2 linked regions of the Danio rerio genome follow. The protein of the gene in region 1 binds, or shares a complex with, the protein of each later gene. Links are inferred from orthologs where the notes say so. Each region holds a gene or a part of one and is shown in the gene's direction. Other genes may lie near its edges.

Evidence for each region.
Region 2: spg7 (region 1) and vdac1 share a complex: the UniProt entries of both Homo sapiens proteins name them as parts of the mitochondrial permeability transition pore complex. The link is inferred for Danio rerio from reciprocal best matches to the Homo sapiens genes SPG7 and VDAC1.

Annotation. Positions count from the first base shown.
Region 1 is NC_133182.1:57,155,879-57,159,709, reverse strand, and holds part of spg7 (mitochondrial inner membrane m-AAA protease component paraplegin), read left to right. Parts: intron 1-70; coding exon 71-181; intron 182-3,628; coding exon 3,629-3,744; intron 3,745-3,831. UniProt on the Homo sapiens protein: Catalytic component of the m-AAA protease, a protease that plays a key role in proteostasis of inner mitochondrial membrane proteins, and which is essential for axonal and neuron development.
Region 2 is NC_133196.1:49,357,902-49,361,732, reverse strand, and holds part of vdac1 (non-selective voltage-gated ion channel VDAC1), read left to right. Parts: intron 1-1,412; coding exon 1,413-1,565; intron 1,566-2,601; coding exon 2,602-2,654; intron 2,655-2,811; coding exon 2,812-3,039; intron 3,040-3,831. UniProt on the Homo sapiens protein: Non-selective voltage-gated ion channel that mediates the transport of anions and cations through the mitochondrion outer membrane and plasma membrane.

The DNA of each region.
Region 1 (3,831 bases):
ATCCTGTAATCCATTAATACCATGTTCTGGCTGCCACAATACTATTTGTACATCGTTGTGTTTTTTCCAGGTGCTGACATTGCCAACATCTGTAATGAAGCTGCCCTTCATGCTGCCAGAGAGGGCTTCAAGTCCATCGACACCTTCAGCTTTGAATATGCTGTGGAAAGAGTCATTGCAGGTTTCTAGCTGCTAGATTAATGTGTGCTTTTGATTTGAAATATACAGTTGAGGTCACAATTATTAGCCCTCCTAATTTATTAACCCCCCTGTTTACACTCCAGAACAAAATCTTAAGACCGCCGGGGGAAACATTACAGTTATACACATTTTGGAAGGGAAGATCATAATCTGATTTGTAGTATTTGAAGTACTGCTTTGAAATACCCAAAGAAGACACAGGTGCAAAAGCCAAAAAAACTGACAATAAGCAATTTATTTAAAAAAGGCATTTAAACTCAAATAGGCTGAAATCAGCGGATCAAAAGAATAGGACCAGAGGCCAAAAAACATGACAATGGATCTCAAATTGTCAAAAGTGACTCAGTAGTGACTAGTTCCTCCATTCTTGTTGATCACTTCAAACTATTTTTTCGGTATGCTTGATACAAGTGTTTCCAGGAGGCTGGAGGTAACATTGCTCCATGTGGTTAAGATGGCTTTTGGAAGGTCACCAACTGTCTGGATGTAGCGTTTAAAAAAAAAATAAAAAATTACTGTTTTTGTAAACTTTCTTTGCCATCCATCCCCAAATGTTCTTAATGGGATTTAAATCAGAGGAGCATGCAGGATGGTCCAAAAGAGCAATGTTATTCTTATTGAAGAAGCGTTTTGTCAGGTGGGTGTTGTGAATTGCAGCATTGTCTTGTTAAAAGATCAAGTCATTGCTGCACAGATGAGGGCCTTCAGTCAAGAGGGATGCCTGCTGCAATATGTCTACTTAACCAGCAGCAGTTCCCGCCCCTGCACAATCTGAAGCTCAGTTTTACCATTAAAGGAAAAAGCACCCCAGATCATTATGGAGCCTCTACCACTGTACCGTGAAGAAATCTCCTGTGGAATCTCCTTGTCGTGCCAGTAGTGTTGGAAGCCATCAGGACCATCTAGGTTATATTTGTTTTCGTCAGAGAACTAAACTTTTTTCCACTTTTCAATGCCCCATGTTTGGTGCTCTCTTTCTTATTCCAAACAGGCAAGTTTGTGGTGTGGGAGAAGACGTGGCCTTTGAGGACGTTTTTTTTGTTCTTTAAGCCCTTCTCTCGAAGATGTCATCTTATGGTATTAGGCTGCAGTCAGCATCAGTAAGGGCCTTAATTTGGGTTGAAGATCTGCCTGTGTCTTCTCGGACAGCCTGCCTTATCCTCCGGCTCAGTGCGGGCTCGGTTTTTTTGGGTCTACCACTTGACTTTTTTGTCCCATAACGCTCAGGATCTTTTAAGAAATTTAAAATGACTGTCTTACTGTGTCCAACTTCAGCAGCAATGACGCGCAATGAGAGCCCTTGCTTGTGCAGCTCAACAATCCTGCCACGTTCAAAAGGAAAAAGTCTTTTTGCTTTTGCCATCTAGAGATCTTGAAAATGTTACAGGCCGAAGGAAAAGCCAGTTTTGCACAGAGTAGAACTTTTTAAGGCTCTGGTCCTATCAGCTGATTCGAGCCTGTTTGAGTTTAAATGCAGTTTTCATTTAATTACCTACTCTCTGTTTTTTATGTGACGTATCTGTGTCTTCATTTGGCATTTCAAAGCAGTACTTACAACCTGATTACGATACACCAGTGCAAAATGTGAATACTTGAAATTTTTTTCCCGGTCTTAAGATTTTGTTCAGAAGTGTATTGTTTCCCTAATTTCTGTTTAACGAATATATATTTTTCACATTTCTAAACATATTAATTCAATAACTAATTTCTAATAACTGATTACTTTTGTCTTCACCATGGTGACAGTAGGTAATATTTTACTAGATATTTTCAAGATATTGGTATTTAGCCTAAGGTGACATTTAAAGGCTTAACTATACGTTAGGCAAATTATTGTATAATGATGGTATATATATATATATATGAAGAATTTCGTTTTGTTTATCTTAACATTGTCAAACATTAAAAAAGCAATACATCATAAATCATATGGAACAGTATAACAGTATATACAAAGTTTGATTAATAATATTAAGATTCTAAGTTATTTTTGGCCAGAACGTACACAACACAACATACCTTTTTATTTTTATTTTTAATTTATTTTTAGCCAAACGCTATAAATCCACCTTAGGCTATATTCTACTACAATAATGCCATTAAGAAAAGCTAGTACATCAGTTTTGTTTTATAAGTAAGATTAAGTTAGTTCGATAAACAACTTGTTACTTGTGAAGGAAGAGTGGAGGGCGGCTCCTTCCACATCACTGCTGAAAATCAAACCTATATGATCAGATCAGGCAGAGGCACAGTGTCATAGTTCTTGTCTCTTTTGCACCGAGTCTGCAACACAAGCTCACCTCGCCCTGTCATATTTATTGAGTCATTTCACTATAATAATAATAATAATAGTAATAAAATGGCTTATAGAGTTTATTGGTTGTTGTTTAAAAACAAAACTGTTTATTATTCCATAGCAAACTGTGCCCTCTATGATCCCTTATAATAAATCAACAACAAGAATTAATGTAAGGTTTTAGGCTATGAATAGGTGCAATCGCATAAATAAATCTTCAGATAGGCTACTCAGCTACTTGTAAGAAATTATTTTAAAAATAAACTTACAAAGGACACTTAGAAATGTCGCCTTGCAGACAGGTATCTTTTGATGGGGAGGAGCGCAAGAAAAAAGGCGCTCCCTGGTCTTCCTCTTGACATCAGCGGAAATTCGTTCCCTGCTGCATTTGTGTACTGTTGACAGAAGCAGGAGTATTTTGTCCTGGTCCACTATTTATTTGTTTATTTTTTTTTACATTTTTGTGAAGTTGAAGGCTTCATCTTCATCTGACAGTTTGCCGGCATGACACCGACCAATATGACTCGCACGATGACCACAGTTAATCTTCGGATGTTTTCCAACCCCTGAATGCCTTGCTCGTTTGTTCTTCTCCCTTTGATGATTTTCTTTAGATGCCTTCCTTAACAGCAGCTGGAATGACCGATCCAATCCTTCATCGAAATCCATGACATTAGCTTGACTCTGAAGCTTTGATTCTCTGACTGACAGACAGCTGTTGATCAGTGACGTAGCCTACGTGACTATCAGCTTGCCTACAGTATAAACAAAAATGTACATTCTTAAATCTTATGAATGGCAGCAATTCACACATAGATTAAGGTACATCTGAACAATGTTTTTCAATTATAAAATACAAATGTCAAAAAATAGCTTTTATCGCAACCAAACTCTTCATATAATTTTTAAGGGGGCTAATAATATTGACCTTTAATGGTTTAAAGCTTTTTTTTTCTTGCCAAAATAAAACGAAGATTTTCTCAAGAAGAAAAAATATTATAGGAAATACTGTAAAAAAATTTCTTGCTCTGTTAAACATAGTTTGGGAAACATTTGAAGAAGAAAACCAAAACCACAGGAGGATAATTTAGAATTTTGACAACTGCTTGTTTGATTTTGTGTGACTTGTAGGGAGTGTGAAGAAGAGTAAAATCTTATCGAAGGAGGAGCAGAGGGTGGTAGCCTTCCATGAATCTGGTCATGCTCTAGTTGGATGGCTGCTAGAACACACGGAAGCTGTCATGAAGGTAAGCAGCACTGAGCCATGCTCCTTAAGAATACTGTAAAAATGCACCGTGCAATTATATGTGTATAAGGCAGCACAAAAGCCATAC
Region 2 (3,831 bases), on another chromosome or scaffold:
GTATATCCCTAATTTTCACTGACAGCCCAAATTTGTTTTATCCAGTAAGTCATGTCTATTAGATGTCTTTTAAACTCTTTCATGCTTGGTGTGAAGTGAAATCTGCTATATGTACATTGTTTGTCTGCTAACATATTGTGGTGTTTTATATTATGAAGCATGCTAAATAAACACACTTGTTCATCTGAAAATCAATCCTGGGGTCCGTTCTTCGTATGTGGATTACTCAGTTAGCTGGATTTGGATATTGACGATTTGACATGATCCAGGATCGTTTCGTTCTTCAAAGCTGATCCGAGAGTTGTTGTCATAGCAACAGTTCTGCTAGGTCAAACCTGATCGGGAGCAGGTTCAATTCATATAAACAGGATTAGATCGGCTCAGTTCAAGCAAAGATAATACAGAAAGTATGTTCCGAATTCTGATATTTTCTTACAGTAGTAGTGATATACACTTGGGAAAATTGTACATATATTTTTAACTATATATATATAAAGTTATAGTCATTAATAAAATAAAGTTATACATATTAATAAAACTTCAATCTGCACCCTCGAAATGAAAGTATAAAGACTGCCACCTGGTGGTGCAAAGAGAAAACTTATTGATATGAACTTTTTAGATCGCTTTAGTACAAATTGTGTATATTAGAAATGCAGAATATGTGACTTTTTTTTAAAACCAATAATACATTTATGCAGTCATAAACATGTTTTGACAGTAATATGCCAGTGATTTGATGCTTCACTAAAGTTGCAGACGCCTTTACCAATATGAAAACGGTTTTTCTTTACACCGATTAAAAAACGGCTACTATAATAAAATTGAAATACATGATGAATACTCTTGACACATGAAAGTGTAAAGCCTGCAGCTCACAACAAATGTGGAAGGTTATTGCGTGTCATGTATAACAAACGGTTTACTGCTAATTTGATGTAATTTTGCTTGCATGGATAATTGAATATTAATCAGATGATGTCATTACGCTGCTGTGCCGTCAGCCAATCGCTGCATTGCTGATCATGATTTCGAGGATTGATAGATCTGTCCTTCACAACACACACAGCGATCTCAGATCAGTTTATCCAGACATTCTAATCTGATTTGCGAACTTTTTTGAAGAACCAAATTAGCCGGAGATCAGTTATCAAGATTAAAGGATCCAGGATCTGCCAAATCATCTTAGATCATTTAAGCGAGGTACGAAGAACAGACCCCTGGTGGGAAAAAACCCTTTCCAATATTTTGAATTTGGACTGCAATGCCCAACTCAACCACTGGGGTCAATCCTATTTATTGCAGCAGAAAGTGTATATATATAGTATAGCGTGTGTGTGTGTGTGTGTGTGTGTGTGTGTGTTGCACTCATGTTTCTGATTGAGATCATCTGCTCCTTTATTTTACTGCAGGAGTTCAAGAGCTCCGGCTCGGCCAACACAGAGACCAGTAAAGTAGCAGGAACTCTGGAGACCAAGTACAAGTGGGCTGAACACGGCCTGACCTTCACTGAGAAGTGGAACACGGACAACACTCTGGGCACAGAGATCACCCTGGAGGACCAGGTCAGACCGAGAGCACCCAAACACACCAGGGCTGCACAATGATGGAAAAACATGACTCTTCGATATCTAGTTTTTCTGCAAATTATTTATTGTATTTAATTATTATTGTTTTTATTTTTATTTCTATTTATTTAAAAAAATATTTATTTAATTTCACTTTTTAAAAATTGTATTTTAATTTTCATTTATTCATTTTTATTTTATTTTCATTTTTATTTACTTTTGTTTTAATTTTGATTCATTTTAATTTTATTTTTTAATCATTTTGTTTTATTTACTATACATACAATTGTTCAAAGTAATAGCAATACAGACAAACGCATTGGGAACACTGGGAAAATAATGGTTAAATGTATTATTACTTTACAGAAAGTGACAAAATGTACTATATTAACTGCGAAATGATAGAAGATTTAGCTTCCTAGTAAATCACTGAACTGATATTTAGTTGTATAACCATGGGTTCAGAGAACTGCCCATTTCTGACACCTTCTAACAGGTCTACCAGCTCAGGATGATTGTACTAGACCAAGGATCACCAAACTTGTTCCTGGAGGGCCGGTGTCCTGCTGATTTTAGCTCCAACTCTAATCAAACACACCTGAACAAGCTGATCAAGCTCTTACTAGGTAGACTTTAAACACTCAGGCAGGTGTGTTGAGGCAAGTTGGAGCTAAACCCTGCAGGGACACCGGACCTCCATAAACGAGATTGTTGACCCCTGATCTAGACCATAATTCCTCTGCATTTCTTGATTTTGCTTCAGAAACCGCATTTTTGATGTCAGGTTACACGTTTTCTATTGGGTTAAGGTCTGGACACTGGACTGGCCATTCCATTATGTTAATCTTGTTAGTCTGGAACCAAGATGCTGCTCAATTACTGGTGTATTTGGGGTCGTTTGTCTTCCCAGAAATAAGTTTGCGTAGGGTCAGATGTCTACACATTGCGATGCTGATGCTGAACTGATGTATAGTGCAGCTCCAGTACACAGCAGACACTCCTGACACTCACCGTTATCTGCTTTATCTCTCAGCTGACCAAAGGGCTGAAGCTTACATTCGACTCCTCCTTTTCTCCAAACACTGGGTACGAATTTATGCATTTATTTATTTATAACTAATTAATTAATTTCACAGAACAATGAATGATTAATTCAGCAGTCTTCAACTGTATTTATTAAATTCACTTAATGTGTTAATATTGAGCATGCATGTCCTCTGACGCTCATGCTGGTGTCCCGCAGTAAGAAGAGTGGTAAGATCAAGAGCAGTTACCAGCGCGAGCACATTAACCTGGGCTGTGACGTGGACTACGACATCAACGGGACGGCGGTGCACGGAGCGCTGGTGCTGGGCCTGGACGGATGGCTCGCCGGGTACCAGATGACCTTCGAGGCCGGCAGGAACCGCATCACACAGAGCAACTTCGCTGTGGGATACAAGACCGACGAGTTCCAGCTCCACACCAATGTGTACGTATGAGGGACGGGCCATAACGGTGAAATATGCAATGTTGTATAGAGTGGGACAATGTTTCTTACCATATAAAAATAGCATTAATCAAAGGAGATGTTATAAGTAATGTTTTTAAATCAAATTCACTTATATAAGGATGTTAAAATGAATCGAATAAATAGTTATTTTTCAGATTGAATTATTTCTAATTTAAGATCTGAAAGAGGAAGACCAGATATTCTGACTCTGAGTGGTTGTTATTTTGCCCCTTCTCCTTGACTCCGCCCACAGAGGTTTATTTTCAGCTTTCGGCCAGTGGCAGTGTGGAGTCTTAGCCCCGCCTACTGTGGAGGCAGGGCTAATGCTACGTACACACCAGACGCGGAACTTGCGTCAAGCGCGAGTGATTTACATGTTAAGTCAATGCAAACGCGCGAATAGACATCCTGCGGCGCGATAGGCACGAATGGCGCGGCGGGAATGGCGCGATACGCGCGAGGCGAATTGAGCGTTTGCGCGTTTGACGCGCTTAACGAGCGTTTCGCGCCAATCTCTCGAATTCGAAATCTGAACTTTAGCGGACATTCGCGCCGCGTTAACCAATCAGAAGCTTGCTCTTGTGGGGGCGTGATTGTGACGTTGAACCAGTTGATGGTGTTCCGGGGGAAATCCTCCAGGCGACACCGACAACAAGTCAACAAACTGGGCTTGGCTCAGTCAGAAGCATCGCTGAAAGCCTCCGTGATCCAGATTCCGCGTCTGGTGTGAACACAGCATAAGACTTCATTTGATTGGTCAAATTCAAATAA